4 linked regions of the Lepisosteus oculatus genome follow. The protein of the gene in region 1 binds, or shares a complex with, the protein of each later gene. Links are inferred from orthologs where the notes say so. Each region holds a gene or a part of one and is shown on either strand. Other genes may lie near its edges.

What was found.
Region 2: rbm15 (region 1) and cbll1 share a complex: the UniProt entries of both Homo sapiens proteins name them as parts of the WMM complex. The link is inferred for Lepisosteus oculatus from reciprocal best matches to the Homo sapiens genes RBM15 and CBLL1.
Region 3: rbm15 (region 1) and mettl14 share a complex: the UniProt entries of both Homo sapiens proteins name them as parts of the WMM complex. The link is inferred for Lepisosteus oculatus from reciprocal best matches to the Homo sapiens genes RBM15 and METTL14.
Region 4: rbm15 (region 1) and wtap share a complex: the UniProt entries of both Homo sapiens proteins name them as parts of the WMM complex. The link is inferred for Lepisosteus oculatus from reciprocal best matches to the Homo sapiens genes RBM15 and WTAP.

What each region holds. Positions count from the first base shown.
Region 1 is NC_090700.1:37,400,116-37,408,491, reverse strand, and holds rbm15 (RNA-binding protein 15), read right to left. Parts: upstream 3,454-8,376; 5' UTR 3,276-3,453; coding exon 663-3,275; 3' UTR 394-662; downstream 1-393. UniProt on the Homo sapiens protein: RNA-binding protein that acts as a key regulator of N6-methyladenosine (m6A) methylation of RNAs, thereby regulating different processes, such as hematopoietic cell homeostasis, alternative splicing of mRNAs and X chromosome inactivation mediated by Xist RNA.
Region 2 is NC_090702.1:39,978,964-39,987,197, forward strand, and holds the start of cbll1 (E3 ubiquitin-protein ligase Hakai), read right to left. Parts: upstream 3,400-8,234; 5' UTR 3,282-3,399; coding exon 3,269-3,281; intron 3,254-3,268; exon of another isoform or gene 3,168-3,253; intron 1,495-3,167; coding exon 1,327-1,494; intron 5-1,326; coding exon 1-4. Other genes in the region: sortilin, read left to right, coding at 6,146-6,409, 7,764-7,826. UniProt on the Homo sapiens protein: E3 ubiquitin-protein ligase that mediates ubiquitination of several tyrosine-phosphorylated Src substrates, including CDH1, CTTN and DOK1. Targets CDH1 for endocytosis and degradation.
Region 3 is NC_090696.1:11,929,970-11,937,505, reverse strand, and holds the start of mettl14 (N6-adenosine-methyltransferase non-catalytic subunit), read left to right. Parts: upstream 1-4,415; 5' UTR 4,416-4,539; coding exon 4,540-4,605; intron 4,606-6,731; coding exon 6,732-6,820; intron 6,821-7,536. UniProt on the Homo sapiens protein: The METTL3-METTL14 heterodimer forms a N6-methyltransferase complex that methylates adenosine residues at the N(6) position of some mRNAs and regulates the circadian clock, differentiation of embryonic stem cells and cortical neurogenesis.
Region 4 is NC_090697.1:50,788,131-50,795,828, forward strand, and holds the start of wtap (pre-mRNA-splicing regulator WTAP), read right to left. Parts: upstream 3,250-7,698; 5' UTR 3,172-3,249; coding exon 3,144-3,171; exon of another isoform or gene 3,121-3,143; intron 2,246-3,120; coding exon 2,208-2,245; intron 2,122-2,207; coding exon 2,066-2,121; intron 1,982-2,065; coding exon 1,923-1,981; intron 1,243-1,922; coding exon 1,115-1,242; intron 1-1,114. UniProt on the Homo sapiens protein: Associated component of the WMM complex, a complex that mediates N6-methyladenosine (m6A) methylation of RNAs, a modification that plays a role in the efficiency of mRNA splicing and RNA processing.

The sequences.
Region 1 (8,376 bases):
AAATAGAGACCCGTTATATTTGGACAGCTGCAAATCAAGCAAATAAACGTTGCTATCATTAGCTAACAGTTAAACACTACTGGTGTTTTAATTACAGCTGTTAAGTGTTATACTTATTTTAGAAGGGCTGTAAACTTTAATTTATCATGTTTGACAAAGCCTTAAGTACTGAAGTCTAATGATATATTTTATCCTTGAGATGATAAAAGGTCCAAATGTTTTATCTTCTAGAAAGTTATAATGATAAAACATGAAACAAAGCAATGTCCTAAAACAAAATCAAGGTGACTTGCAGAGGATTTTAATTTTGTAAGGATTTGCTGTTAATTTTTTCTGAGCACTGTGTCACATTGCCATTACCTTCCTTAATCCAGTGAACCCGAAAGACTAACATCTGATTGGGTACAGCATAAACAGACAGACAACAACAATTTTCCATGCATGACAATGAATTTGAAGTTTTCAGAGCTTTTTGTTTTTAGCTATTTGGACCCCCAAAACCTGTGGATCAATATTTTTTTTTCTAAAAGGAAGGTGTTTTTCTTTTTGGCAAAACATCTGAGGGCCCGCAGCCCCCAGATTTAGAGATTGCTGTATCCCATAATGCAGAACAGAGCGCATGCAGTGCTGTGGATAGATTACAAGATTTTTTTTTCTCTTTTTTATGATGCCCCACGAACAATGATCATCACCAGGTAGTCCTCTTCTGTTTTGGCAAGAGCTTTAGCAGAGGAATCCAAGAACTGTTGAGAGAAATCACAGGGAGGGAAAGCATGAAGGACTCCAGCGTTGTCCTTGTCTCTGCTGCCACCTACGGGGAGACTGATAACTCCTGCGGCCTGTTTTTGCTTTAAGTAAGAGACCAGGTTCCTCAGCGGCCTCTGGGTGGACGATGCTGGCTCAGATGAAGACGACCCGCCCTCGGAGTTCCCTGGTACCGCCAGGAGGACAGAGTAGCCGCTGGGGCCTGCCACCTTGATACGTCGGGTAACCTCATCAAGCTTCGGTTGGTCCAGACGCAGACGCTGGGTGATTTTCAGCTGGGCCACTTTGCCACCTGTAGAGCCGTCGATCAACAGGCTGGTTGCCACGTTGAGGTCACCTTCCAAGAGATGCATGTTAGAGGGGAAGTTGCTGTTTTTCAGCAACAACATACCCTGCCAGGCCAGGCACAGCTTCTGGCCTGCCTCCTGCTTCAGCCCCTGGCTGCCCTTGGAAGAGCTCATCTCGAAGCGCTCCTCCTTCTTGGCTGGGCTCTTGCTGGTCTCGCTGATCTTGCGTTTGCGCTCTTTTTCCACACCAGATCCTGCCCCACCCCCGACTCCGCCTGCAGCCGCTTCCCCCGCACTGACAGTTTTTAACCTCTCTCCTCCCCGCTTCTCCCCAGCAGCCCTCTCCAGGCTGGCATGCCTGTCCCGTGCTGGGGAGGGCCTCTCGGAGCGCAGGGGCCGCTCCGAATCGCTGTATCGCCCCCCGTCTCTGCCACTGCTCCCCCCTGGGCTGCGCTCAAGGGAGGGACAGTGACGCCTTCGGGCGCGCTCGCTGCTGTCAGGAGAGCGGTCCAGGTGGCGGCTGTCCTCCAGCAGCCGCCGCTTGCGCGTTTGGTCACGGTTCTGCAGCTCTCTCTCTCGCTCCAGGGACCAGGCCTCCCTCGGCCTGCGCTCCCGGTCCAGATGGTCCAGGGGATCGAAAGCCGCCCTCACTCTGTCCCGGACTGGAGGAGCAGCCCAATCGGTGGCCGGGTAGAGTTCTCTTTCTCTGAAGTGCAAGGGCGGAGGAGTCCTCTCCCTAACCCGCAGCGACTCCGGGGCAGCGCGGTGCACAAACGACTCCGCCACAATGTCGTAGTGAGGCAGGGGCAAGGGCTGTAGGTACTGCTGCTGGTAGCGGTGCTCCGTGTCGGCAAAATCCACCCTCAGCCTCCGTTCCGGTCCCCCCAGCGGGAAACCGCGCATGTGGGTGCAAGCTGCCTGTGCTGCGTCCAAGCTCTCGTACTGGATGTAGGCCCACGAGTCCCCCTTTCTGTAGTCAATAGTCCGAATGGTACCAAAACGATCAAACTCCCTGGCCAGGGCAGCCAAAGGAACCCAGGGTCCGAGTCCGCCCACCCACAAGCGCGTGGTGGGAGTGGCCTTACCGTAGCCAATTTTAATGGGGTTTCGGCAGATCACTTTACCCGACATACTCAGTTTTGCCCGGTGAGCCATGTCCAGGTTCTCAAACTTGAGAAAACCGTACGTGCTGGTCTGGCCACGGGAGGGCCGTTTAATGTCCACCTCGGTGATCACCCCGAACCTGTCAAACGCCCTGCGCAGATCGCTCTCTGTGACGCCAATATCCAGGTTCCCCAAGAACAAAGTCCTGTTGGCTCTTTGGTCATCTTCTGGCGAAATCAGCTCTTCCTCACGGAAAGCGGCGGCACGTTCTGCGATGTTGTAAGCTGGGCGTGCCCGTGCTTCATAGAAGGCATACTCTCTTTCCCTTTCCAGATCTCTGGGTAAAGGTGGGGGCGGGGGAGGGGGTAGGCGACCCAGGGCTAGCTGCTGCAGCCTGTAGTCTCTGTAGCAAAGCCCAGTGGGGGACAGAGGTCTCTGGGCATGCAAATGTCTGTGCCCTGCCACTGCTGCATAAGCCTCCTTTTCAATGGGAGAGCGACTTCTTCTCCGGTTAATGTACACAGCTTCGATCTTCAAAGGGCGGTCGTAGAGGACCAGCCTTCCCCGGGCGTGCTTGGCTGCCCTGGCATCCTCGGGCCGCCTGAAGTTGACAAACGCCACCCTTTCGTCGTTAATCCGACTGATTTTAACGCTCACGTCCCCGAATTTTTTAAACTCGTGAAACAGCCCGTCCTCTATTTCCTCGTCGCTCAGCTGCGAACCCAGTTCGCTTATTTTTAGAGTCTTGTACTCACTTTCGGTACTGGTGAGCGGAGGCCGCTGCTCCCCGCGGGAATTGGTCCTGGTGGCGGCCGGGTCGAGAGTCAGGTTGTTGTGGTTTTTGCTGCTGGAGCTAGCGGCGGCGTTGGCATAGCTGTGATTGCCCCCGGCCCGGCTGGAAACGTGTCCGTCGAAGTCCCGACTTTCTCTTTTCTCGGCCAGCAGACTCCTCCTAGCAGAGCCCCCTTCGCTTTTGACGGAACTGTTGCCATTGTTGCTGCCTCCGGCCGCTGAGAGGGTCCCCATTTTCTTGCTGGTGGGGTGGCTTCCTCCTCTGTCTCGGATGTCGTCCAAGGCCCGAGAGCGCTTCTTCACCGGTGATCTCTCCTTGCCCTTCATCTTTTAACTATTGTTCCCTCAGGCCGGCTTTTACTCACTCGAAAAAAGCAAATCACTAAACACGTTATCACGGGCAGCCACTCTCAGTTACTTTTCTTATTATATTATTGCCAAATATTCAAGTTATTTTCCACCCCTCACTGTCCCTTCAGCAAAAAGCCCGCATACGCCATTTTGGAACAACACATGATAGACCCCGCCTTCGCGTTATTACTGGTGGAACTGTGTCGGTTGGGAGAATGTTATTGGCTAAAAGTAATGCCACTCAATACGGGTCTTTGTGTTGCTTTATGGGACTCGGCTTCAGTCGTAGCACGCTGCATTTATATTGAGAAACTGTAAAGCGGTTTAATTTTTGGCACTATTATACCCTGTCTAAAAACAACGTTGTTTTAAACAGGAATCGTTTTCTCAAAATTAAGCTTATTTTATTGGCACAAAATGTGTTAAAAGCACCCGCCCACATGACTTGGGTCTTTGCCCCGTCCAAGCTGATGTTAATTCTTAAATAACATAATGTATTTTTACATAAAGTTAAGACATTTTATTTTTTCATAAGAAAACAGCAATGTCTTCGTTGAAGATAAGCTTTTATTTTTCTGCTACCGTCATATATTTGCTTTACAAAGGTTCTTTTATTTTTTGGAAATGGCAGCCATTACGGTTCCAGTAGTGGTAGCTGCATTATGTGTCACTCTATGTAGAATAGAATCCATAATGGCGAGGACACTGTTCCAGTTTCTCACTTTCGGAACACCTGGTACATCATACCCTAGTGAGTCGTGGCTATGGTAACGTCTAACAAAGTACGTTTTTTTTCTTATTTTCAGTTACGTGTCGTGTACTGTATTTGTGGTAGTTTTAACCAAGCGTGCTAAACAGTTTATCACCCAAAGTACAAAGTGTTTTTTTTTTAACATAAACTGAAAGAGTTCGAGAAATGCTGGGCGTTCCTGCATTTTAATATTTTGTCTATCAACCCGAATACTTTATATACTTTCTGTCTTCTATGTGTATCGTTACATCGATTAAGTTGTAGCATGAAAATGTGTATTTGTGTATTATGTGTCTTCCTGAAATATATGTAACTAATATAAGACATCTCTTAAAGAAAAAAAAATCAGTCGTTATCTGGAGTAATTTAGGGCTATGTGGTGTTTAAAGGGATTTTTAAATCGGGCACACCATTTCCTGTTGTTAGAAGGTAAACTGTATAAACCACAAAAATGTATTAGAAACACATTTAAATGTAAGTAATATGTTCCTGCGCCAGTAAGTTTATGCAACCTACTTTTCTTGTGTTTTCACGAGTGCAACCTGATTTTCGAAAGGATCAAAATAATAAATGTAATGTTTATTATTTGTAATCTCCCAGGGGCTTCTGTCCCTCGTCTGAGAATAACCCTTGCTGATATTCATGGTGTATTGCATGGCATTATGAATGGTAGGCCTATAGTTTTTAAGCAGCTTTCATTTGATCTGAATGTTAAATTTCATAACATTCTTCATGCTTACTGTTCCTGTTAATTGTTTGAAATATTCTTCTGTTCTCAAAAGTTTGCAGCTCAGCAATAGCAATATTCCCAGGTCAGTGTCTTTGCAAAGGTTTTGAAGGACTTGTGCACTGGCAGTAATGCGTGGTCTATGAGAGTAACAGCCCAGCAGATAATGGGTACTACAAGCCAGGTTTAAATGGGTGAGCAAGCCTCCATTGTTGAAAACCTGATAGCAGTAGTAATACAGATCTGTGAACTCAGTTAAGTCGTTATGGGCTCTGTTCATTTGGAATGAAAGACATAGCGTTTAAGGATCAGAGGTGAAATCAGTGGGTTACTTAAACACTTCCAATGTTATTATTATTTGTAAGCAGTATAATTACTCTAAAGTATTGACATAAATGTGCTTATGTTTTAAGTTAAAATGTACAAATCATACAGCTGACTGCGTCTTACTTAGGGAACAAGTCTACAAACCACCAGCAGGGGGAACCGTGAACTGCATTTATGTGCTTTTACTTGTTCAAAATCATCCTACTTGGATGACAATTTTAATTGCTAAAATGGCTTTTGAACGGATCTTATGCATTTTTAATAGCCAGAGTGTGTGATGGAAAATTAAGTGATACAATTGCTGGCTAACATTTGTACACACACCATTTCCAATAATGTTATTCAATACCCTATTATGTTTAATCAATATATTTGTTAAACTATACTAAAAATATTATCATCTAAATGTATTTCTCATTCATGTACTCTACCAAGTGGTAGCAAGATTTTTAGCAAGTTAAAACAAAAGGTACAAATATTTTGTATGAAACTTTATATATCCAGAGGCATATAAAATGCAACAAATGGATTTGTTCATAATACTTGATGTGTTTTTAATGCCTCTCAGTGTGACTTTATGCCAATACAAGAAGCTCAGTGTTTCTTTACTGGTGAGGTTAACGGCAGTATTGTAGCCTATGAGGTTTAGCCGAAGCACAATTATTGCTAGGCAGTAATCAGCACATCTGTTTTAAACAGGATTTTAACTCAGAGCTTCACAGCGTAATCTCATCTCATCCGTCCATCCACCCATTTTCTAACCACTTCATCCAGTTCAGGGTCGTGGGGGAGCTGGAGCCTCTCCTGGCAAGACAGGGCACAAGACAGGGCACGCCCTGGACGGGACACCAGTCCATCACATGGCACACACAAACAAAAAACACAGACATGCACAAACGTATGCCAGAGTCAGTTTTCCCAGAAGCCAATTTTCCTAATAGTATGTCTTTGGACAGTGGGAGGAAACCAGAGCACCTGGAAAAAACACATGCAGACATGGGGAGAGCATACAGACTCCACGCAGATAATAATTGCTTACACTTATATAGCACTTTTCTGGACACTCCACTCAAGGTGCTTTACAGGTAATGGGGACTCCCCTCCACCACCACCAATGTGCAGCCCCACCTGGATGATGCAACGGCAACCATAGTGCGCCAGAACACTCACCACACATCAGCTATCAGTGGGGAGGAGAGCAGGGTAATGTAGCCAATTCATAGAGGGGGATTATTAGGAGGCCATGATTGGTAAGGGCCAATGGGAAATTTGTCCAGGAGACCCTACTCTTTTCGAGAAGCACCCTGGGATTTTTAATGACCACAGAGAGTCAGGACCTCAGTTTTACATCTCATCCAAAGGACGGCGCCTGTTTACAGTATAGTGTCCCTGTCACTATACTGGGGCATTAGGACCCACATGGACCACAGGGTGAGCGCCCCCTGCTGGCCCCACTAACACCTCTTCCAGCAGCAACCTTAGTTTTTCCCAGGAGGTCTCCCATCCAGGTACTGACCAGGCTCACACCTGCTTAGCTTCAGTGGGTTGCCAGTTGTGAGTTGCAGGGTGATATGGCTGCTGGATTGATGGATTTTCTTTCCTGTTATCTCCCTCTGTAGTTGTGGCTGCCGAAACGATGGGCCATTAATTCTTCACACCCATTGTTTCCTATTGTATTGACACAAGATCAATCCAACTAGGGCACATTTTTCAAACCTTGAAAACAATAACATTGTCCACAGATAACTTCATAAGATTCCACTGAGTCCACTGAGACTGCCGTTATAAATTTGTTGTTGAAAAAGATTACCGCTTACAAGATTCTGTAACACAGGGCAAACTATCTGTGGAAAAAAAACCTGAAAAGTGAAGTGGTTATCTTCTTGCAACAAAAAATAAAAGCCTTGAAAAATGGAAACTCTCAGCCTTTGCCAAGTTGGATCAGCAACAGCTCCAGTGCTATTACAGTCTGTACCTAAGAACCGATGTGCTTCATTGATGAAACAGTCACTGTAGCTGTGGATCTTCCTCCAAACACTAATGAGCTGTTCCTCAAGCCCAGCTCCATTATCTTACAGGCAGCAGCCTCAGTTAAGGCTCAGATCAGCACACAGCTGCCAATGTCGTTCTTGTCTCGCTGCTGTAAATATTCACTGATTATATCTTCCACATGTTCACCACTCTATTCATGTGGCTTAAGTCAAACATGATTTAAAAGAAGATAATGAATGTCATAAAAGCTGATGGTTTGGGTGAATTCTGATTAGGGCATCTTAATTGTTAGGCTATTATTGGAAACAACCCCTGTTACCTGCCTCTCCATCTCTTTTGTTTTAAAAATAATTTAATAATAATTTCTTACCCTCATATAGTGCTTTTCTGGACCACGACCGATATGTAGCCCTACCTGGATGATGCGACAGCAGCCATCGTGCACCAGTATGCTCACCACACTCACAATGATCACAATGATCAGCTATCATTAGGGAGGAGAACAGAGTGATGAAGCCAATTCATAGATGGGGATTATTAGGAGGCCATGATTGCTAAAGGCCAATGGGAAATTTGACCAGGACACTGGGGTAACATCCCTACTCTTTTTGAGAAGTACCCTGGAATTTGTGGGAAATTCCACAGAGAGTCCTGGGTTTTACATTTTATTCATAGGATGGCGCCTTTTTACAATATAGTGTTCCTGTCACTATACTGGGGCATTAGGTCCCACACAGATGAGCGCCCCCTGTTGGTCCCACTACCACCTCTTCCAGCAGCCACCTTTGTTTTCCCAGCAGGTCTCTTATCCAGGTACTGACCAGGCTCACACCTGCTGAGCTTTAGTAGATTGCTAGCTGTGAGTTGCAGGGTGATATAGATGCTGGCTATAAAGATAGATATATATTTGCTAATGTGGGGGGTGACACAGTGGCACAATAGTTAGCATTACAACCTCGCAGAAACTGGGGCCCTGGGCTCAATTCCTGAGTTATCTGTGTGGAGTTTGTATGTTCTCTTGGTGTTTGAATGGGTTTTCACTGAATACTCCAGTTTTCCCCACAGTCTAAAGACACGCTGGTAAGTTAATTGGCTTCTGGGAATATTGGCCCTGGTGTGCCTGTGCCTGTGTCTGTGTGTGCCCCGCGATAGACCTGTGTCCCGTCTGGGGATTATCCTGCTTTGTGCCCATGGTTTGCTAGGATAAGCTCCAGCTACCCCGTCATCCTATATTGGATAAATATAAAATGGGTGGATGTTAAGATTATGCTCTCTTTATT
Region 2 (8,234 bases), on another chromosome or scaffold:
CTTTCTGAAATGACATTAAAAATATGGGAGATTTGATGACCTGACATCTCCTTTAAAAAAACTCACACCACAAACAAAGCTGTACCTATTTTTATGAACGTAATTCGATCCCCAAACCCCTTTTGTATAGAGGAAAACTTATAAAAAGAAAAACCTATTTTCATTATTTCTAACCAGGAAAAATTATGATTTATTCTGGACCCCAAAAATGTCACACCTACTTTTACTTTTTCACCAAAAAATGACAAAAGAAACAATAATAACCAACAATCATACTGTGTTTTTAATAATAAAAACACTGGTTCCCTAGTTAGACATCATTAATCATATCTAAGTACAGTACTGTACAGTACCCACTTAATTTGCTTTTGTGTAATAAATGTTCTCAACATCTTAATGTAATATATGTTCTCAACATCTTAATGGTCCATGATAAAGCATAAATCACAGATTTTCCTACACGAAACGTAAGAGCACTCACGATAGAGAACAACGCATGAAGCAAGATGCCGTGAACTGTATCACGTCTCTCATGCCACTCTGTAGGCTCTGTACAGGCTCTCACCCATTCTAGCTAGCGGAAGGCAATGCATATACTTGATATGAAATGAGTCGCATGACGCCTTCCTCTCTACTTTTTGCAGGGTTTTTTAAATTTTTCTTCCTATGGCTTTTTGTAGTTTTAAAATCAGCTTTCATTATTCGAAATGAACGTACTAATTTCTCATGCTTCACAGTAGCGAATTTTCATAAAAAGAGGTACATGTGCACTATATTTTAAAAGTATGACATTTTAAAAACACCATATATGAGAGACTGAAATCTGAAACTGACAAACTTCATATTAGTATTATTTCTTTATGCTTCACCTTTTTTATTGGGGAGAAATGAAACTTTCTAATTATGTGGGTTAAACTTTAAAAATAACTTTGTTACTGGTCTGTGGTCAATTTAACCAATAATTATGATGTCTAAACTTCAACTTACAGATGTTGCTGTTTACTGAATATTCATGCATTCTAGCTAACCACATAAACTGAAAAAATAACTCAGATGAGGCTAGCTAAACTTCAGACGTTGCAGACATTACTGACAGTGTGAAACACTAACAACAACAGAACTGGCATCTCTTCCATGTAAACAATGTCCGTCTACAAAATACTGTGCGAGTGGTTTTATTGGAACATCACAATAAAATGATTTTTAATACACGACACATTTATGACGAAACAGAAAACCTAACATAATACTTGACAGCATCCACAAAAAGGGAGCAGAATGCAAGACCGAGCCTTCGAATTCACAAAAACAAAAGAGCAGTCTTACCATCATCGCCAGCCTGCGTTTTGGAAGGTATTCTGTTCATGGCCCTTTGGGCCCTAACTGCTGGCTTGTTTCTGATGGTTTGTTTGGAGAGAAGCTTTATGGGAATCCGCCTGCGCACGTCAGGCCCCCCCAGGCTACCTGGCCCATCCGTGCCCTGTAAGTCATTGTCTGAAAGCAAAAAGAATCCAGCAAGTTTACCGTTTTGACTTCTATACTCGTCCATAGAGGCAATGATAGCAAAGGCAATATGGTTTCTTTTTATTTCTGCAATGGAAGTCACTGCGATCCAGCATCATGGGTCTGAATTCAGGAGGGGGCACCCTGTGTGTGGAGACTGCACTTTCTCCCTGTGGGCACACGAGCCTTCTCTGGGAACTCTGTGCTGTCAATAAATCTGTGGCATATATAAATTCCGGCCCTTAAGCATCCGATGATTGCGTGTATTTGTAGCCCTGTGATGGGCTGGCTTCCCATCCACAAGGCTCTGGCCTGCCACGGGCTTTACTGTTACTGAAAGGGAAAGACGAAGTGACACAAAGTTATTAAAAGAGTGTACGTGGTAAGAGAATTTAACAATGTCCTTCAAAATAAAAAGGGTGTTCTCAGCTATGCTCACAAAACGTAATGAGTAGGCATACACAGCTCAACTCCACGTTTGAATGATGCTGAAAACTTGGTACCCTAATCTGAGGAATCTCTTTCAATTCCACATCGGCTACACCACATCACTTTCAATAATCGCTTATCCAATACAGGATCATCGTGGCCGAAAGACTATCTTGGGATGCATTGGTTGCAAGGCAGGATACACGCTGGACAGGACGGAGATCCATACAGACACGAGCACGCACGCACATACCCACCAAGGACAATTCACAAAAGCCAATCAACCCACCAACACGTCTTTCGAGGAAACACCAAAACAAGATAATACAAACTCGACACGGGTAGCGCCCAGGGCTCAAGCGCTGAAGATGCTACAATGTGCCACCAGTATCAGCTGAATGTACTTTAAAATGTCAAAAATAGTTCCTAGAACAAGCACACTATACAAATACTAATGAATTATTTAAAAGACTGTAATCATATGTAACTGTACTTCACGTCTTATACTGTGAAATTAAGCTTATGTCATACATCACCTGATAAAAAGTTTCGTCTTTCAGAAAAGATTATGATCTTCAAAACAAGGGAAAATTATTACTAAAACGGGAAATCCGGTCATCAAATACCAGAGAATTCTAAGTTCACCCGAAGATTGTTATGAACTATTTCTTAAAGCCAAATTAACGGCAAAAAGAACAGGTGAAATTTTCACATGAGTGCAGTCTTTCATCGACACTCCGATTCCCAAATCCTTGCAAAACAAACGGGACTATGGACGATGAACTTCTTGACGATGTGGAAAACAACACAAACCTAAGACTGACTTACGGATCTTTATATCCTTTTCAGCAAAGTCCGAAATCAAACATTTGTATAATCTTTTCTGAAACGTACTCGTTTTAAGTCTGTGGGGAAAACGGGAAAAAAAACTACCGAAGACAACAGGTGACAACCGGGGCAGAACTCCGCTACCTGTTCTGCAAAACTTGTAACCCCTTTCATCCAGTGTAAATGAACCACTGTTTCAGGTTCACGAACACCGTGTGAAAATCTCTATTTTTTAACAGATCATGAAGGGGGGAGAAAACAAATCACACCGTAGCGCACACTTCTTCAGCAAAACAGCCCCTTCCTCTCTTATTCAATGGATGCTGCGAGAAAACTGCAGAAGGCCGCAAGGCTCCGCATTGAGGCTTCTCCAACTTCACAGTCAGGCAACTGGCTCAGAAACGTACCCTGGTCCTGCGTAAACCCAGTGAATGTCTGTGCATCCAATTTGATTTAAGAGAGGACAGAATACGGCTAAATTGCATACAGAAAGGAATTCCCTCCTTACCATTCTGGTCCATGATTCGGAGCGCTGCACGGTGGGAGCGGAAGTGAGGGGATTCAGGGGCGGGGCTTTCAACGGAAGAGCGCGCAAGGCGTCATGCGTCTTACAAACTAAGTCGGTCCGACGTAGGGAGGTGGTGTCTGTTAAACCTTTAAGAAAAACGTACTCAACGTTGTAATAATTGCAGAGAAAATCATCTGGATTGCTGTTAGTCTATGTATCAACTGTGGTTGTTAACGTTGAAAATAGGGGGGGGGGTGTAAGATTTATGAACGTAGCAAAATGTCGTCTTCATTATCATAGAGTGGAGTAGTTAATCCGAAGGCAAAAGGAAATGGGTAGATGGGCGTGATGTGGAATCTATACAAGTACTATAACGTGGTTAAAGCTATTCTATAATGGGATATCTATACGCGAACAGGAACTGGAAATGTGCGAGTTGCTATCCCCACGACCTGCTAAGAAACCCTATCGGCCGTCTTGGTAATTACTCTCCCACTTTGAGTGGAGGTGGAAAGCAGAGTTGTGACAAGTTCATCACAAATATTGTAATCGTAGTTTATAATACCTTCCAAAAGGTATGGTTCTGAAAGTAATCCAACACAAAACGCAGTTTGAACAGTTGAACAGTTTGTACAACGACATGCTTCCAACATATAATACCCCGTCAGTTGTTTTAATATTTCCCTTAAAACGAAATTAATAAGATATACATCCGTATATACAGTAAATACGACGCATCAATAAAAAGGAATCTTGAAGATTAAAAAAAGCATTACGGTAGCCCACAACCGACATACTGTACACCCGATTAAGCGTTGTTTTTCTGATTTGAAAAAGTGCATCCGAATTGTGTTGATACGTAATTGTATTCCATTAATTATGAACAAACGATTTGACTCTCACACTATTAATTCATACACATAAATTGTTCAACAAAATTATCTGCATCTTTCAACGCAGTAACAGCTGAATATTCTGATATGTAAATTAAGCCTTCTCTTCATGACAAATTGTAAAAACTTGCCAATAAATTCAGTGAAAGCAAATATTTTTCCGTAGTTAACACCCACACACGTTACAAAACACAAATACAATTTAAAAAACATAAATACCTTTTAAAAACTACTCTGCACATAAAACATTTTATACACAGTAAGATATCTGTGATATGTAAACAAATACATTTGCTAAATATTTCAGAATATTTCTTAACGGCTATCTCAGATAATTTATTGCCAAAAGTTTATGCAATGTGACTTGTTCCAAAAAAATAGTAAAATTATACAACATCGTATTCCAAATAGGGGAAATTTCCTAGTCCTTTTCTAAAAAATGTTTATAAAATGATAGATGTTATATAAAATAATAGATACATTTTATAGATATTTATAAAATAATAGATGAAGGTTTAAGACGCGTGAGAGTATGAGGAATAATAACAATGTGCATAGGCTATCTGCCCATTTGGTTTTCTTGATGTTGCTTATTGAGCTACTCGTTTCTTGAAGTTTCTCGGAATATATTGTAAGCATATAGCGGCTTTTCAGGAAAATAACCACAGATCAACATGATAAAGCTTTTGAACAATTGAAAAACTTAATAAAAAGTTCTAATCTAAAAAAAAACCCTGTTTATATGTATCAGCGATTTTTTTAAGGGTTTTTGTTTCAATTTGGGTTAACAATTGCTGTACTTTTACTGTGGTCTTACGATCCCTGGACCCACACCCACAGGGCAGAGAAAGTAGAGTATGCAAGTGAAGGGAATTCTGGCGGCTATAGTTTAGGGGGTGAATACTTTTTCAACCAACATATTTTAGTTTTTCATTTTATTTTGCAGCTGTTGCTGACATTTAACTTCTTATACCTACAAACGTGTTCAGTTTCAGCCTTCGAGTTTTGATTAAAATACTTGAAAAAATGTGTACACATCATTTGTAATTTAACAAAATGAGACATCATTGAAAGGGGGTGAGTGCTTTTGTAGGGCCTTGTAATTCAGCTCAATTCAGTAAAGACTGCATTGAAACAAGGTTTAAAACCTACCCTGTCATGAGCAAAACTCGCATAAAGTCACATACAGTAAGAGATCCGGTTATTCAGTACTTGTCCACTTCAGTTCAAAGCGTCAACGGGGAACCAGTCTCTACTGAGTTAAAATAGCGTCAATTTTACACGACTGGTAAATTACAGGTTAGAAGCTAACTGTTGAGCAGTTTAAACCAGCTCAAATCAATAAATACTAGTTCAGACCGTTAGAAATCTATTATACATTTCAACTGAATGCAACCGGAATTTCCACTGGATAGCTCCCTGGATAGTAGCTCCCCTGAAAACAGACTAGAAAAAAAAGACAAAAAAATAGAGTGTTCTATACTGCCATCTTGTGGGTAATATTTCAATAGCTACCCGCAAAAGGTGTTGCTTCCCACCTGAAAACAGTACTGTACTTTATTCAGGATTGCAGGCTGTGTTTAGCACCGAATGTTGCAACCCCACCGTACTTGAATTATTTCCAACTTCTGTTTTCCCAAATGTAGATGTGTATCGTACATTCAACTTATCAAATATATTTTTTTAAATATTTAAATAAGAATCCAACAAAAAAAATGACAGACACGGTTTCGATTAACAGTACAATATATTAACATATAGCCTATTGTAACTCACTTTAATCCTCAACGTCATGGACCCGCATGTTCTAGTTGTGTCGTCGCTTACGAGAACGAAAGCATCCAATTCGAAGGAGCCATGTAAGTGAGAATATTTAAAATAGCTGTTTTGACAGTTAAATTGCCTCCACCTACTGTGTGCAAGCGAGACACTCGTGACCTGTCGCTTAAGCACCGTCTCCAAAACAGGACCAGGCTTTTGGATCATGGTTTCTTTTCTCAAAAGTGTAGAGAAGATGACTTCGGGACATTTGGTCCTGACTCTCTGCTGCTGCATTTTCGCAGGTGTATCCGCGGAATTCTCGGGATTCGCACCGCATTCGTGTCGGACACAGACGTTTTCCAGGACGCGAACGAACCGTGAAATTAACCCCAGGTTTAAAAGGGATGTTAGCACTGAAGGTTTCACCCCCTGTTTCTCATCCCTCGAAGCTGCAGATTTAAAGAAACTAAAGCAAAACACTCACGAGGTAAGGGTTGTTTTTATATTTCATAATGTATCACGTACCTGAAGTGTACTTGCTAGCATCTTTATGTAATTTACATTGACTGAGCCGCAATTGCAAATAAGGACGCTTTTTTGTGTCACGTGCGTTGAAAACGTACTGTACACACACCAGGCTGTGATATCAATGTTTAACCATACATTTTTACAAAGTTCAAATGTCTTAAAAAACGAAAGCAGTTGCACACTATGTGCTGAAAATCAAAACAGCGCTAGGTTTACCTGAGGCGCTACTTGTAGGTTCATTGCAGGGCTATACAGAGCGTTTGGTAGATTTATATTAGAGTTACGGTATTGTAGTGCATATTATTTATCAAAAGAATAATATACACTACTTTTTGAGGGGGTATTCTACAGTACGTGTTTCATTGTTCGTATGTAAAAGGTAAGCTTATACAGTAGCTGTGGTGCTGCTGTGCGATTATATTAGGTACAGCTACTGTATAATAGGTCCGAATCCAAGTCCGAATCCTCACAACCGGGATGTCTGTGGCGCCAAATTTCAGTTCAATTACTTAGGCTACTGCCTAGTCGTCCTCAGTATTCTCATATTGGCATAAACCACACTGAACTTTCTACAAGCAATGCGTTATACTGTAGGAACGTTCTGCCAACAAAGAGACAGAATGTATTCTGAATGTGCTTGCTGAATAAATTTACATTTTGGTTGTGTGGCATTATCTTATAGTTAGATATAAGAATAAATTTGCAATGAATTCAGTTAACACCATGTTGCAGCACTTATGTAAAATGTGTGCTCACATGGATAATCATACTGAGAAAGTACAGCTACTGTAGTATTAAAAATAAGAATTCCCAAATATATTGGAACACAAGAAAGGTTGCAAACGAGACCTGTTTGCTAGTTTGTAGCCAAACTAGGGTATTGGCTTCAACAACAAGGCTGGGTAGCTTGTGACATACTCCCACAACCCTTTGGGTAAAGAAATTATATAGTTGTGTATAAAGGGGACATTTTGTTTTAAAGGAGAAGAGATCACAGTCTCAAGATTAATAGGCATATTGCCACTGGCCTGCCAATTGTACAAAAGGGGAAGTGGGTATTTTTGTTTTGTTTAGTTGCATTTCCGTAAGAGTATTTTTTGTTTTTGTTTTTGGTAAATGTGATGCTAACCATGTCAAGTTGCAACAAATGACCATGTGAATTTAAATAATATAACATTTATAAAAAAAATCAAGTAAAATACTTTCTAAGATCCATGTATTTTCTAACATTTCTAATTTTACTTGTAATGTCAGTAACATTTTTCTAATCTCAGAAAGTCAACTTGGTGACCTCATTCTGCTCTCTTTTTCAGACTAAATTTCTTGACGATGATGGCTCCAGTTTCATCCTGAGCTGGGTGGGGGATGGGACTGGTGTAAGTATTTTTAAAATATCAAGAAACAAAGTTCTTAAATAAACCTGAAAATGCATTTAAGATAACAGACATTATACCGGATCGATGTAGAAGACTCTCACAAAGGAAGTGTGATACAGTTAGCTTTCTGTGTTTTTCTCTTTTTTCAGGCCAAGTCTCCATTTACGTTATGAATAGTATGGAATAGCAATTTGAACGTAGAGGACAGAGTTTTTTTAAAATCCAAATGAATGTATTCCTTACTTTTTTGTGCTCAAGTTCTCCGTCTTCAAAGACACAATGCCTTGCTAATGATTTTTTAGAATTTCCTTCAAATTGTAACAATATACTGTTGAACAATGTTAAAGGGAAGATTAAAAAATAAGCCTGTCTGGCATGTCTTCCACAGTCTTGCTGACTTGTAACTAA
Region 3 (7,536 bases), on another chromosome or scaffold:
ATTTACCAAATTATAGTTTTATTGCTTGTCAGCTTGTCCCCATGTCCTTGTCATGTACGTCCATTTAACGACGGAAAAATCAATTTTCCCAGATCTGTATGTCTGATTTTCTCTTTAGCAAAAATAATAGGTCCAAATCAGTCCACTGAAAAACTTCTCCGCTGACTGCTCCTGACTTGCACTGCCAACAATTCATTTTCTTCCTCCAGCCACTGCCACAAAATCGCTGAGTAGCGCCCCCGACTCCAACTAGCTGTAAATTCACATCTCAAGAACACATCCTTACAATTGTGATATTTGCTTTGCCTTCCTTTGTTTGGTAGAGTATACAGACGTGTTCTGTTCTAACAAGCAACCCAAACTTTACAGAATGTGGGTATTTTAATAACTCCTTTGTATGAATCGACCTCAAAAGAGCAGGCTATTTGTCTAAAACGTGGTTATTTAGACTACATTTTTATATACTGTACAATATATCTTACCACGTTAGAATAAAATATAATGTCTTTTAAATTCACTGGACAGACCTGAATGAAATATCTTGCTTGATGATACAAAAAACTGAGGCTCAGTCAGAATTTTACACTCCAGTCTATAATTCAGAGCCCTAACCTCTACCAAACGCTAATACAGAGCACATAATTTTAGGAAGTACTTTAAAAATACATTTTTTTAAGCCAGAGGCTTCAAGTACTTTAGTTTATGCCAATAGATTCTAAAACATACACAATGCTAAGCAATTTCTATTTGTTTTTTTTTAATTAACCTATTTAATGTATATATCTGCAAAATTAATTTCAAAAGCCTAGGAAAGCATATTATTATATAATATTAAAGAATCATACAGTTGTAATTTATTGCAGTACTTCTACTAATAGTAATCATTTCATTTTCTAACAGTTTACTCCTGTTGAAGATCATGGTGTTGACAGGTGGAGCAGGGCAGACCAGACTTCCCTTTCCCCAGCAACAGTCTCCAACTCCTCCCAGAGGATTCCCATGTGCTCCCAGGCCAGCCGACAGATATAAACCCACCAGTGTGACTTAGGTCTGCCCTAGGGTATCTTCCCAGTGGGCCGTGCCTGGTACACCTCCAGCAGGAGGTGCCCAGGGGAATCCTCACCACATGCCAGCAGCCATATCACTCTGCAACTCACTGGCAACCCACTGAAGCTAAGCAGGTGTGAACCTGGCCAGTGCCTGGATGGGAGACCTCCTGGGATAAACTAAGGTTCCACCCCATCACCCAGAGAGAGCAAGTGACTTGTTGATTGGGATGCTGTTTCTCCCAGTCATGCCGCTCCAGGTTTTTCCATCATTCCCCAGATGAATGTTGAAATCTCCCAGCAGGACAATGGAGTCAGAAAGTGGTGCCCACGGTACATAAGCACGGCAGTCAGAGTTTTCCTCTCTGCAATATGCAGTACAGTATTTGTTCTCATCCATCATGACAAATTCCAACTGCACGGCACCCAGCCAGGGACTTGTGAGTATCTCCACACCCACTCAGACTGTCACGGGAGCTGAATCTAACTCCCGAGGAGTGTGTTGTAAAAGACCCTATGCGTGACGGTATATTCCGGAAGTGTCTGGAGGCGTCAGGGAAGGCACAGCGAGGTAAGGTCAGGATGACAGACAGGGGGCCGTGACTGAGGTGATCTGGCGCATGGGGGGAGCGCAGGCAAACAAGTCCAAAGGAAGTCTAAAGGGGTAGTAAGGCGCAGTCCAAAATCCAGAAACCAGGAGATCCATCGGAGACCCAGATGATTAAAAACAGGAACAGGGAATTGGGACCAGGAACACAAAAGGTTAAAAGCATAATGGGGCATGGGACTCAGAGGAAAGGACGGCATGATGAAGCCTTTGCCCTCGGGCCACTCCTGAGCCCAGTGGTAGGTGGGCTTCCAGGTGTCAGTCTTTCAAAGCTGAGCCTGGAACTACAGAAACACTGGGCTTAAAGAAGGGAGAGGCAATGAAACACAGCTAACACTAATAAAACTAAGAACATTACAAGAATGGTAGGAGCGCCCTCTAGAGGAGGGATGATGACCGTGACACAGACCAGACATGCGAGGGACAAAGACCACCCCTGATTGAGAATTGTGGTTCCAGAACCAATACTGTATATAGAGGTAAGACCGACTATATCTAGTCTGTACTTTTCAACCTCCCATACCAGCTATGGCTCCTTCCCCAGTGAAGTGATGTTCCACAACCCAAGAGCCAGTTTCCAGTGCCAAGGTCTAGTCCATCATCCAGATCTTTCCCACTCCATCTCATTACCCGACCCCCATCCTTCACTTTGGGAGTGGCAATCCCACATGGCAGCTCCATGTAACCATTTTGAGTTGAGCCTGGCTGAGTTGTGTGGGTGATCCAGACACCAGGTGTTTGCCGGCAACATCACCTGGCCTGGCTCCAAGGGTGAGTCCTGGCGTCCATGGTCTGTGCAGGGTTTTCTCAGTTCGTAATGGAAAAACATCCCAGTCTAGCGTGCAAGGTTCTTTGTCTGGCCTCTCATCTAAGACCAAGTTGCCAAGGGTAGCCCTACCAGAAGCACAATCCACCTGACAACATACAGTACAGTAGTTCAGTAGCAGGGAGTAAACTCCCTGTGGCATTCAAACTCCTCCACCACAGCAAGGTCATGATTGCAGGAGATGAAGAAAGGTATGACATATATAGTAAGTGGAGAAAAATTGCTCTTTACACACCTCACTGTTTCAGTTTCAGTGTAAGAAATTCCAATCCTGTTCTAAAACATTTTATACTGTTTTATCCTGTAGGAAGTACATTAGGACATACTTCTATGTATGTTAGGACATGTTTCTAGTGTCATTTAAAGAACACACTTTAAGAAGAGCATAGATTTCTTTGTTGTTATGAAAACGTTCAAACAAAATATACAGATGCAGATCACTTGTCATACCTGTACTGAAATAAAATTTATTATAGTTGATAAGAACGGTTAAAATAAAAATGTTATGATTTTTATGTGGTTGATTAAGTCAGAAAAAAATAAGCATTACAATTGAATAAAGTTCTAAAAATTGTATTTCTATGTAGCGATTACACCTTCACCCAAAATCATGTGATTTACTCCTAAGAAGGCACATAAACTATTAAATAAAGGTGGTTTATTGTTAATAAACATTTTCAAGACTATTGTTATTTATGCAATCAAGACCTTGAATACTTTATTCCTATAACATGTTAATAATAACATGACCTTCTGCTTGTCATTAGTAATCATTATAACATTATAGGCATTCATAAGGCAGATTTACACTATTACTACAATCATTTTTAAAATAAAGTGCCCTGACAGTATTGTTTTTGCTGTAACACATTTTGAAAATGCACAATATTATCAATGTTTACGTCAGTCTTATTTGTCAGTCTTGTTAAAATGAGTAATAATTGTAACAATACTCATAATCACAAACCACAAATTATAAACCACGTTTGTTACATGACAAAAGCTTCCATTTCATGATTTAAGCTTTCTATACCGCCTATTCAGCTCTTAAGCAAATGTACTGTATGCCATCTTTGCTGAAGTATTCAGCAGACATCCATAATACTGTTTAAAGTTCAAACAGTGACCAAATTATTTTAGATTATGTGCATCGTGTGCTATGAATTCTACTTCTTGTTGCTGCCGACAGCTGTGTTGCCATTAACAGTTGCCCCGGGTTCATTTAAGCTTAACGTTGTTAAGCTAAAGGTTGGTTTTGTATTTATTACCTTTTTGTTTTGTACTTTTTTACTTTGCTGTGTTTAACAAAGATAAATTGTGTTAACCACACAATTATCAGAATATGTGATTTTCCTTTGTATATCAACTTTGTTAAATTTCTAATCCTCCTAGACTTTGGATTTTTGCGAACCACCCTCCTCTGCAGGGCTGAATAAAGAACTGTTTCTCCAGAACCCCGAATCGTCAGTGAAGTTCTTCCATGTTCATAAATCATACTTTTGTAATTTCTTCTTCCGTTTTGCATCTGTTGTATATTGCTGCATACAGCTGAAGACGTACGGCAATCTACTGTCTACATGCCAGTTTGCGCTGCAATGAGATTTAAACTCTTGTACACGCAACAGAACAATATACACTGATAAAAGGGGGATAAAAAAAGTAATATTGAAATGAAAGAACCACTATTATTTTTTCGACGACGTACCCTTACATGGATAATTTGTAAGTGCATTATGTTTTGACCAAAACCTATGAATGTTATACAAATACCTACAATCTCCTATATTGTTAAAATCTATTAGTTTTTTAAAAAGTTTTTAGTTCTTTTTTTTAAATAACTGGCCAATATTTGCATCTCTATCCTTTTTGAGTGGTAAGTGAAATGACCGAATAGCCAAGAAACATCATTTTAAATCACCGTTTTCTGTTACCCGGAAATGACGCAAAATATCCGCGACTCGTGCTGCTTCTGAAAGAAACGCAGGAGGGAAGAATTGGAATTGGAACTAAATGAGGATTCAGGCATTCTTTGAGAACTTTTGCTTCGGTATCGATAAAAAATGAACAGCCGTTTACAAGAAATAAGGGAAAGACAGAAGCTTAGAAGACAGCTTTTAGCACAGCAGGTAAGGAAGAACATTTGCTGTTTGTTCACGTTACGAAAACAAAAGATAGCATAGCTCCCACTCAAATTGTGTTCCAGAATTATGTGATTTGGATTATTTTTGTAGGGGATTAGTTAACAATTTTTATTTGTCAGTAGTTTAAGATCGTAATAAGGTGTTAACCGTAGAGAAGTTAGATTCACAAGAGAGCGAGTTGAGATAAATTACATCAAATTCAATATTGCTAAAAAACACAAATTCGCGGGTGTATACAGATCTCTAAAGCATTACGGCATTGCCCTTGGGAGTTGGATAAATATTTACCGTTCCAGTTCTGTTTTAATGATGAATTATATAATGAATAAATAGATAATGAATAAAATCGATACAAGCTTGTGGGGGCATAATTGCACCTAATTCCAATGTAAATTGACGTTAATAAATGCTGAAATTTTTTGAGTGGAGATTACATGTTATCATATTTTTGCTTGCTTTATTTATCTTGTTTATAAAATTAAACATTTTAAATGGTTTAACTAATGAACAGTAAAAACGTACTGTAGTTTTACGTCATTTAACTTAAATGATTTGTTGATCACGTGAGAAGTGCTGTTCTTTTTTGCAACAAAAAACTTTTAAAAAATCACGTGGTGGCTTAAAAGTATCGGGTGCTCCGAGTTTGATATTGGAGTCGAGTTAAAATTGCAAACAAAAATTGATTACGAATCTGCGCCAACCGCCGTTCAAAAATACAAATATAATTAATGTCAGAATATGAAATATCTGACCATGGCCTGCTTGAGAAATGAAGACAGCATGTTTGCTATTGGTGTGATTGGAGGTGACCTATCAGTAAAAGAAGTTGCCTGGAGAATGAGATGTTCTATTTCAACAATCGGCTCACTAGTCCAGAGAAAAGGGGAACCAAAATGCAGGCCTGGGGGGTGGATTTTCACTATGTCGGCCAGGACAGTCACATCAATCTGATCTATCTCCATAATTGTTAATAAACTGTATTGAGAAGCAGCAACGGACATTCCAGGAAGATATCACAGTAGAATAACTAGCTCACAAATTGCATGAAAATGATCCCCATACTCCATTCAAGTCACTGAGAGTAACAGCGATGGCTGAGACACAGAATTGCTGTCTTCTGTGGGCCGGAGCACATTTGTGGAGGCAACCGAGAGAGTGATGGACAGTTTTAATCGTGGATGAAACCATTTTTCCCCTTCAGAGACCTGCCAGAAGACATGCGAGAGGATGTCATTGCTAACATTGCATTTTTCAATCTGGGGGGTAGTAGAAGTGAAATTTCCTTCAATGAAAAAATGTCTTGGATGCAGATTAATGCAGACCAATATATTAACAAGGTCCTTGATACGACAGGTTTTCTGTAAATAAGAGCCAATCCAGGTGTCAAGTTTACCATCAGTACAATGAAAGACTATCCAGGGCTAGGATTACTGTGGCAAGACTTCAAGAAAACAATGTCCAAGATCTTGCCAAGGACAGCTTCTTCTCCTGACCTTTGTGTAATTGAACATGTGTGGGGGCAAATTGCTAATGCCATGGACAGGAGACAAACACAAACCCTCCAGCATTTCCTAGCTGGCGGTTGGTGCATAGAAAAGGGAAGAACACCATACATCACTGTATCCCAAAACTGGTCAAGTATTGTCAGGATTGTGGTAATGTTAATGGAGCTCATGCCCAATACAATTTAATTCATAACGTTCTTATTTTAAAAGTACATTACATATAGTGAAATCATGATTTTGTTCATGTCGTCTGATTTAACGTAATATTTGTCTAAAAAAAGATTAAATATAAAAAAAGTTGCCATTGTCACTCACATTCACCACCAGCTATGCAACAATGCACAAGATGTAAGATTTTTTCTAATGGAAAATCACTGAGTTGAAAACACTTTACTTGTGTGAGGGGAGTTTTTTCCTTTGCATCTCAACAACTTGTGGCAACTTGTAACGGGGGGCCTATATTTGTTATCCTAGAGCACTTTTTTTTTCATAATTGGAATTTTGGAAGATTGAAAGATTCCATGATATCAATTTGCTGAATCCAAAAGAACACAGTCGAACAAATTCTGCTAAGGTAATATACTGTATTTATACCGTTCTTCACAGCTAGGAGCTGAGAGTGCAGATAGCATTGGTGCAGTGTTGAACAGTAAGGAGGAACAGAAAGAAATTGAAGAAACCAGAGAGACATGCAGGTAAGAAAGAAACACTTTCATGGTTGTGTACAAAAATTGCTACAAATATTTGCCAGGCTAGAAATATGTTTGACAAAAACATATTTGGTTACATTTGGATAAATAGTTTAATAAGCACCCAAAGGTACTTTGTTAGGTTTATTATTGTACCGTTATTTGGGAACATAACATCTAACATGATTGTCCAAAAACTATACTATTTTGTTTATTGAACATGTTCTTAATATTGGCAGGAGCATATGATGATCCAATTCGGTATCGTCCTACATAATTATTATTCTATCTTTTTGTTCTTAAATATTAGAATAAGCCTCACAAGTTTGGATTTTTGTATTTCCTAATGTTTTAATCAATAGTATATTTATTGATAGCCGAGCATTTCTTTAGTCTGACATTTAACCCGTTTAATTGAAAAACATTCTTTCTTCCTCCATGATGTCAGATTATCGAATTTAACATCTACTGATTCACACGGATGCTGAGTTTTATTCAAGTTGTTTTATTTAACTTTGTTGTTGTAAACTGAACTCTGACTCTCATATATATATACTCTATATATGTCTTTATTTCTGTATGCAGTGACCTGTTCCTTTTCCTGATTCTTTGATATTCTGAATGTTAAGACAGTCTTTCTGCCAAGACTAGCGTAATCATTGTTTCAATGCCTTCCTTTACTGTCCCTGAGTCTAGTTTACAAAGATCTAGGACTCTAGAAT
Region 4 (7,698 bases), on another chromosome or scaffold:
GTGATTTCTGAGGTTATAAACACACAAGACTTTTCTTATATTCAGGTTGAACAATCATATACAGAACAACATTAGAAAGCAATTCAGTCAACCATCATTGGCCTTTAACGACAAGTTTAAGAATAAAAATGTCAATAGCAAAGCAAAGGGTCTGCCATCTACAACCGCCAGGCATGTTAAGTGCTTTGAGCTTCTTGTAAACCCCTTATGAATACAAATGTATTTTTTCCAGCATGATCACTGTATATTAATTGTAACCGCATAGTGTGAGGCATTTACATATATAAAGTTACAAATAAAAACACTATTCGCTTGGGATGTGTAGATGTGTGTTTCTGGACTGAACACATCTACTGCTACATCTGTTCTTTTTCTTTTCCCATTTACAACTGTTTTTTGTGCAATATATGCCAGGGACCCGTGCAATACATTTATATTTATATCTATATAATCATATGTGGAATATAATTTTTCTGCGTACTGTTCTGTTCTAGTTTGTTCTTTGTGTCCTGGACTGTAACTCTTTTAGTGCACACCTCACTGTACTGATTGTATTGTATGTATTGTATTATTATTATTATTGTATCATTCGTTACACTGTGGCTGTGTTGCCTGTGTTAAGCTGCTGTTGCACTGCAGTTTCCCTCACAGGATCAATAAAGTATCTATACTTAATTAACACACAATGCAAATGTTTAAAGGGTGCAACTGAAACTGGAGCAGTTAGAGCCAACAGTCTTCAATTTCAGTAAAATACCCTCCCTTAAAGTTTAGATTAAAAAAATTGTAAAATAAGTTAACTGAAGCAGTACAGCAGTGTGGAGGAGTGTTAGGAGTGAAAGGCTGTGGATTCAAATCCCATTGCTGATGTACCCTTGAACAAGGTACTTAACTCATATCAATCTAATACCTAGCCAAATCAATGGGTACAAATTTAAAATGTTTTGGCAAAAAAAAACTCCATGCCAAATATGAAATAATTGTAGAAAGTATCTAATTCCAATAAAAAACATTAAACCTTATATTATCTATATATGCATTTTCTTTCAGGCCAATACTGTGATGCACACTTCCCTTCAACAAATACAACTTAAAAACAGTATTTGCTACTTACTGTACACTCTTGCATTTCCTGTTCTTTTGTGGCAAGCCTCATGACAAGAATGTTTTCTCTTCTTGCAGATTCTTGTTGCTGCTGTTTCAGCTTCTCTTCAGACTCCTTCAATCCAGTCACATCATTCGCTAAACCAGAATTGGGCAAATAAAGAGGAAAAAAAACTTAACATTTCAAAAAACGCAACAGAGCATTCAAGAGCAGCTTTACCATCCTGTAAATTGATCACCCCAGATTTCTGAAGCTAAGCATACTTGACCCTTGTTCGGGGCCAAGATGGGAAAAACTCTAAAGAAAACCATGTTGCTGCCATTAAGTGACATTTGTGTCAATTTGAGGATAAATGTGTCACTTCCCTCTGGAACACAATTTCCAAACCAATACCCTTCTATTGTGAATAAGGACACTGTACTATAGGAGGTGGTCTTAAACATTAAACTAACATCCTGATCACATATTCAAAGGTTCAATATACTGTTCGAAAGAATAGGGGGGCTAACCCACATTCTGGCAAAAATCCACTTCGGACTTGCATTTGCTGGGAAGTTAGGCACCCAACAATTGTTTTCTCACATCAATCCAGGAGGAGGCTGCACTTAAACTGGTTGAAAAGCACTGCACAAATGCAGGTATTAAAATCTTGAGAGACAGTATATAAAGGTTTCTGAATAGACTGCTTAACAACAGGTCTTGTAAGAACCAATTAAGCAGCAGATGCTATGTATACGTGGTGAAATTAAGTAGCCTTCACAATTTATCTATTCATTTTCCAAATACAATTTTTATTAACATGAAAACATGAACTTACAGTTCAGTTCTGCATATTTTGCTTCCAGAAGTTGGACATATGCTTCATGCTGCTTCCACCTGAACAGAAAAAATAACATGAATTGCACAAGGCCAAATTAAGACGCAACGCCCCAGTTCCCTCCCTGCAATACAGATATTTACCTTACACAAAGTTCCTCTCTGGTCAGGGTCTTCAAGTCAGATTCACTAAGGCGAACCTAATCAAGCAAGAAGATGTTTAGTTGAAATCTCAACATTTAAGATCACTATGTTGAATGACCTGTATAACATTTCCTATACTGACCTTCTTTGGCAGAGGTTCTTCATTAGTCATTCTGAACTCTGTAGGGGAAAGAGAAAACAAAACAATGGAAAGTCTCAACAAAATGTAGGAAACTTTTTTTTTGGGGTGTGCAAGAAGATCGACACTCAATTAATCACAGATAAATGAAGAGTAGACTTTGACGTGGATTTCACACTGTTATGGTGAGTTAACCAAAAAGAAACAGGCGGCCACAAAAGACAGGTCAACATTATGCGACTTCTTAAAATAGTGTGGGGGGGGGGGGGGGGGGGAGGGACAAAAACTTGTCAACAATTTTACAATCCACATATATTAGATCGACATTATCTCTTACAAATTACATCTTTCCGCAGCAAACTAACTTTAACGATAGCCTCAATCATTGACTCCATCACATAGGCTCAGCTACAACCATTGATTTCAGATGGTAAGACAGAGGTGTACGGCGTCTGAAGTTGCGCTTCGGCTGATAGTGCTAGCAAAACGAAATCCAAAATATTCGGACTAGAAAGTTTCCAGAATTTTCCAGTAAAGCTACAACCAATTCAAAGTATTTTTCAGCTTGTGTAAACACCTTCCCCATCAAAACAATTAAAAAAACACCAGTTAAAAAGCTATCAACATCTTCTTGGGACACCTAATTTATTTCAAGTACTGCCAAGTAAATGCTCAGTAAAGAGCCAACCTAACAGCTCAAGTCCTGTGAGTATGTATATATAAGGTGACAAGGCGCTCGGTTCCACTGTTTTTCTAATTTTTATCATTTCTTTTCTCATTCAAGATAAAAAAATATCCTGTGGAGGTATCCGCCCTCCCCTGTCTTGCTAAAGCAGAACCATCATGGTTTTGGTATACACATCACGCTGTTTTCGTTACTTTTAAATACAAAGTATAAAAACACTTAGGTACAAACATGTAAAAAGACACTTTACGTACGTGTAACCGTGCTCGCCAAAACTAGCATAAATATCCGGGAATCATTATGTTGTGTTTTCGCTACCTGCCGGTTTCTTGTGTTTGCAGCTTCTCGCTGCCACAAAATGGCGCTGAAGGAAGAGTGTCGGACTCTCCCGCAGCCGAGACTCACAATCCTCCCCTTGATAACCACCGTTACACCCCTGAGGGAAGACTTACCAGACCCGTCTTTCTGCTGGCTAGAAATCCTCTTGGACAAACGCTATAAAACGTTAACAAAAGCGAAATTAAAAATAAAAACAAATCGGGAAATCTTTTTTTTGTCTCGTTTCTCCAAACACCGATGCTATTTGCCCAAATCTCTCGCCGCCGCCATGAGTGAGAGGAGGAGGAGCTTCCGCCGCAAAGCATCATAAGGTGGACGCGCGCAGAGCGCAGTGGGCCGGAGGATCAGCGCTCCAGACGGAGGGAGGCGCAAGTCTCTTCCAGTTGTCATAGAAATATGTTATTATTCAGAGAATCCACATCCTGTAATATCGCACACATCAACAAAGTTCAGTACATAGCTCGCTGTCTGAAATCCCCAGTGATGAATATGGATTTCAACATTTATGATAATAATAGTACGACTATGAAGACTTAGAGGAAAAACACATAATGCATAGATATATTCTGTCGGCACGGTGGCGCAGTGGCTAGCATTGCTGGGGTGCAATCTCCATGGAGTTTACATGATATCCCCCTCTTTGTGTGGGTTCTGTGGCTTCCTCCCACAGTCGAAAATGCTGCCAGGTTTATTGGCTTGTGGGAAAGCTGGCCCTGGCGTGGGTGTGTGCATGTCTGAGTTTGTGACAGTGTGTTTGCGCTGTGTGGCATCCTGCTCGGGGATATCCCATCATGCTCCTGCGGCTTGCTAGGAACAGGTTCCTGCCCCCCGAGCCCTGTAGTCGATAAAGCGGTTATAAGATGGATATATAGATGGATAATTGTGCTTAAAGGCACTGTATAAAGTTTGTACACAGAGGCTTTAAAAAGTGCAACAAATACTGTTGTTTCAATACTCGTGCACTGTTTAATGCTTCACAGTGTATCATTAGTGTTGTTGTTATATCTATAAATTGCTATTTATGTTTTCATTTGGAATTAAATGTGTAGTTTAATCTTTTGACACCCTGTTCCGTCAACTCCAAATTCATGTATATTTCTGTATTCCATGCAGACAGCTTCTATCACTTGACAGGTATGTCTATTTGCAGGTGTTCATGATGGAATGTGGTGATTACGTGTATGACTCATTTACAGTCCTACTGTGATTTTATTAGGGGTTAGCTGTCACAGGTGGTGATCCCAAAATACAGAATAATTTTAGCTTTTATAGCCAACTACTCCACCGAGCAATTACAAGAGTGCTAGGCCCCTTTTTCCCCACCAGAGGTTCTTCTTATCTCCCAGTACCTCCAGTGCACCCACAGACCAGACAAGACAGTCATTCTTCATAATATGCCATTTTATTGTAGTCTACCGATCACACAGAGTCCATGACAAAAATTACCCACATGCCAGCAAACCATATGAGCCCCATGGACCCCAGTTTCCAAAACCCAAAGTCCCAAAGCAAAAGTCTAGTAATGCTGTTTTGGGTCAGTGACCTGGTGTGCCTCCTTCTGCCACAGCAAAGACATTATGTGTTGTCTTAGGCATCCTCTTCAGTCCCGGCCAACCCAAACAATGTGGTCCCTCATGCTGAGTCTAGCTAAGTCCAGTTGTTAGGGGGGAGGACGATGATGCCGGGGTCTTCCTCTGCTGCTCTCTGTAGAGTCTCTAGTGTATGAGTCCTCTCCTGGGTCAAACAATGCAAACTGTGTTCCCCTCAAGTCTTCCCTCTCAAACACTGCCTGAGTTCTCCTGACTGCCTAGCCAGGACTCAGGACTCGTTCTTGGGAGGGCTGGGATGGGGCATGTACTGTAAATGTCCCATTTATGTGTTGCGTGTGGACAGAGCTAACTGCGCAGGGCCTCATTGAAGAACTGGCTGTATGCAGATACATTGTCTATTGTTGTATTGTAATGTATTGTAACAATACATTGTCTATGCTTACCCTCTTCTGGAGCCCTGCTCCCTCTCGGTCTGGGGCCCAGTTACATGCCACCTCTGAACTGTGCTGTAATTAACGAGCGTGTACGCAAGACGGACCTTTGACCAATGGGTGGAAGCTCAAAGAACAGGGAGAGAAAGGCATCAGCCCTTAGAGAGACACTGTTCTGTGTGACCTTAAAGTCAGTTTACTCAGTAAAGTCAAGTACAGTACTGTATTCTCTGCCCTAACTCAACAACAAACATTCAAGTCTTATATTTAAGGCTACAAACCATCCTGATTTTCCCAGTGCTGTCTTCCAGATAGCAGAATCAGAATGTCCTTTATTGTCCACATACATTGGAAATTTTCTTTTGGATTCACTGAGACAACAATTAAAACCAAGTAAACAAAACTGTAACTGTATGTAAAGGAACAAGTAATAGGTTTATTCCATGCTAAGAAGAGAGAAAACAGGTGGAGAGAAGAGGTGAGAGAGACAAGAGAAAGAAGAGGTGTTTTCTCTCTTCCATTTTCACCATGGAATAAACCTATTACTTCTTCCTTTGCACGCATGCTGACGCAGCTACCAACCTGAACCACTTTAACTGTATGTAACATATGTCACATGATTCATACAATCAATGCAATATAAATAACAAAACCATACAATACAACATAATACAAAACCATAAAACTCAAGTGTGAAACATAAGATTTAAGTGTGACCGTACAGTACATGTGCTGTCAATGCAATGTTGTGGAAGGAATCAGAATTTAAAAGAGTAACGGCACACAACATGAATGACTCCTTAAAAATATTTTCTATAGCTTTTGAATGTGAGACATTCTTTAAAATTAACATTGCTTTCCTGTAAACAATCCTAGTATAGATGTGGTTCAGCTGGTTCTGTTGAAGTCCCTGCCTCACACAGTGATATTGACAAGTATGGGTTTTGCAATACTGTCCCAATTTTCCCCTGTTTTGTCAATCACCCGTGGGTGGGTAAAACCAGGGCATGGGGGCATCACAAGTCTCATGATTGAGTCTAGGGACTCACAAGGGGGCCAGCAGTATTGATCACGGAAGCCTCCAGCTGCGGCCAAGAGGAGGATCATCACAGTAAACCTCTGGATTCCGGCTCTGGGAGCCAGACTGAACTTAAATTTGATTACATTTGCTCATTTGCTGCACATCTGTAAGTGAAGTAAATAGTTCATACTTACAGCCCAAGGCAAAGAGACACCAGGATCTTCGCCACTAGCAGAATGTCAGAAGGTTCCACAATGGTCATTTTTACAATATATACATTATACATTACCTGTTCTGTTGGATATGAAGGTTTAATTTCTTTGTTTGGCTATTCACTAGATTTCAATCTGACATATACAGTAGAAACATTTATTAAATTAGTACAGGTGGGTAGCTGCGTCAGCATCCGTAGGCTGCAAAGGAACAAGTTATAGGTTTTTTCCATGCTGAAAAGAGAAACATTCTTTGGGTGTGAGGCTCCACAGCCGAAACTTTGTATTTTCTTTCTTCTCTTTTCAGCATGGAATAAACCTGTTGTTCCTCTGCATTTATTAAATTAGATTACTTGACTGTAAACTCCTAAAATGGTATATTGTGTCAAATAATAATAATAATAATAATAATAATAATAATAATAAGGTTGTTCCTACAAATTTTAAGAATTTCAGACCCTCTGCAGTTTATCTCCACATACACAAAAAAGTTTGACAGTGCCATCTAGTGCTGACATGGTGCAAATATAGTTACAAAGAATTTTGATATTTTCTGTCTTGATGTCTTTGCTGTGTAACATGTAAAAAATACATTGCAATACCTGAACCTGATAAATGTTCATTTCAAATGTACGTTCAAAATTTAAGGCTGTTTAAGTTATATTTTTAAAATATGTATACTTGGTAAAAGCAAGTTAAGGGTTTAAGTAAATTTACAGTTAATGTTATTAGCATATAGATACTAATAACATCAGCAAAGTGTACATAACAATGTGCAAACCACTCGTACCAGGGATTCATTTTGAATATCGTGTAAAATTTTGGTCACCGCGTTTCATCATCATCACTTTCAATAACCGTTTATCCAACTTTAGGGCACGGAAGCCAGGAGCCTCAAGGCAGAACAGGGAAGACTCCAAGGAGACCTGATAGAGGTATTCAAAAATCCTCAATGACGAAGTGACACACTAGGCTTCTTCAGAATGAACCATGAAATACGAACCAGAAGACACAACTGGAAACTTAAAGTGGAAATATGGAAATGCATTTAAACCATTAAAAAACGAGAACAGGAATGCAACTTTCACGTCTCCAGAAATGAGCTGCACTGTCAATCTTCCCAAGAAGAAGTGATATAAAAACACCAAAAATATTACAAAACATGCAAAAGTGAATGAAGAACGGTATCTTTTAGTTGTGGGTCTCTATATCGCATTCCTCCCAGTTTTGAGGATGTACACATTTTTGTTTAGCCA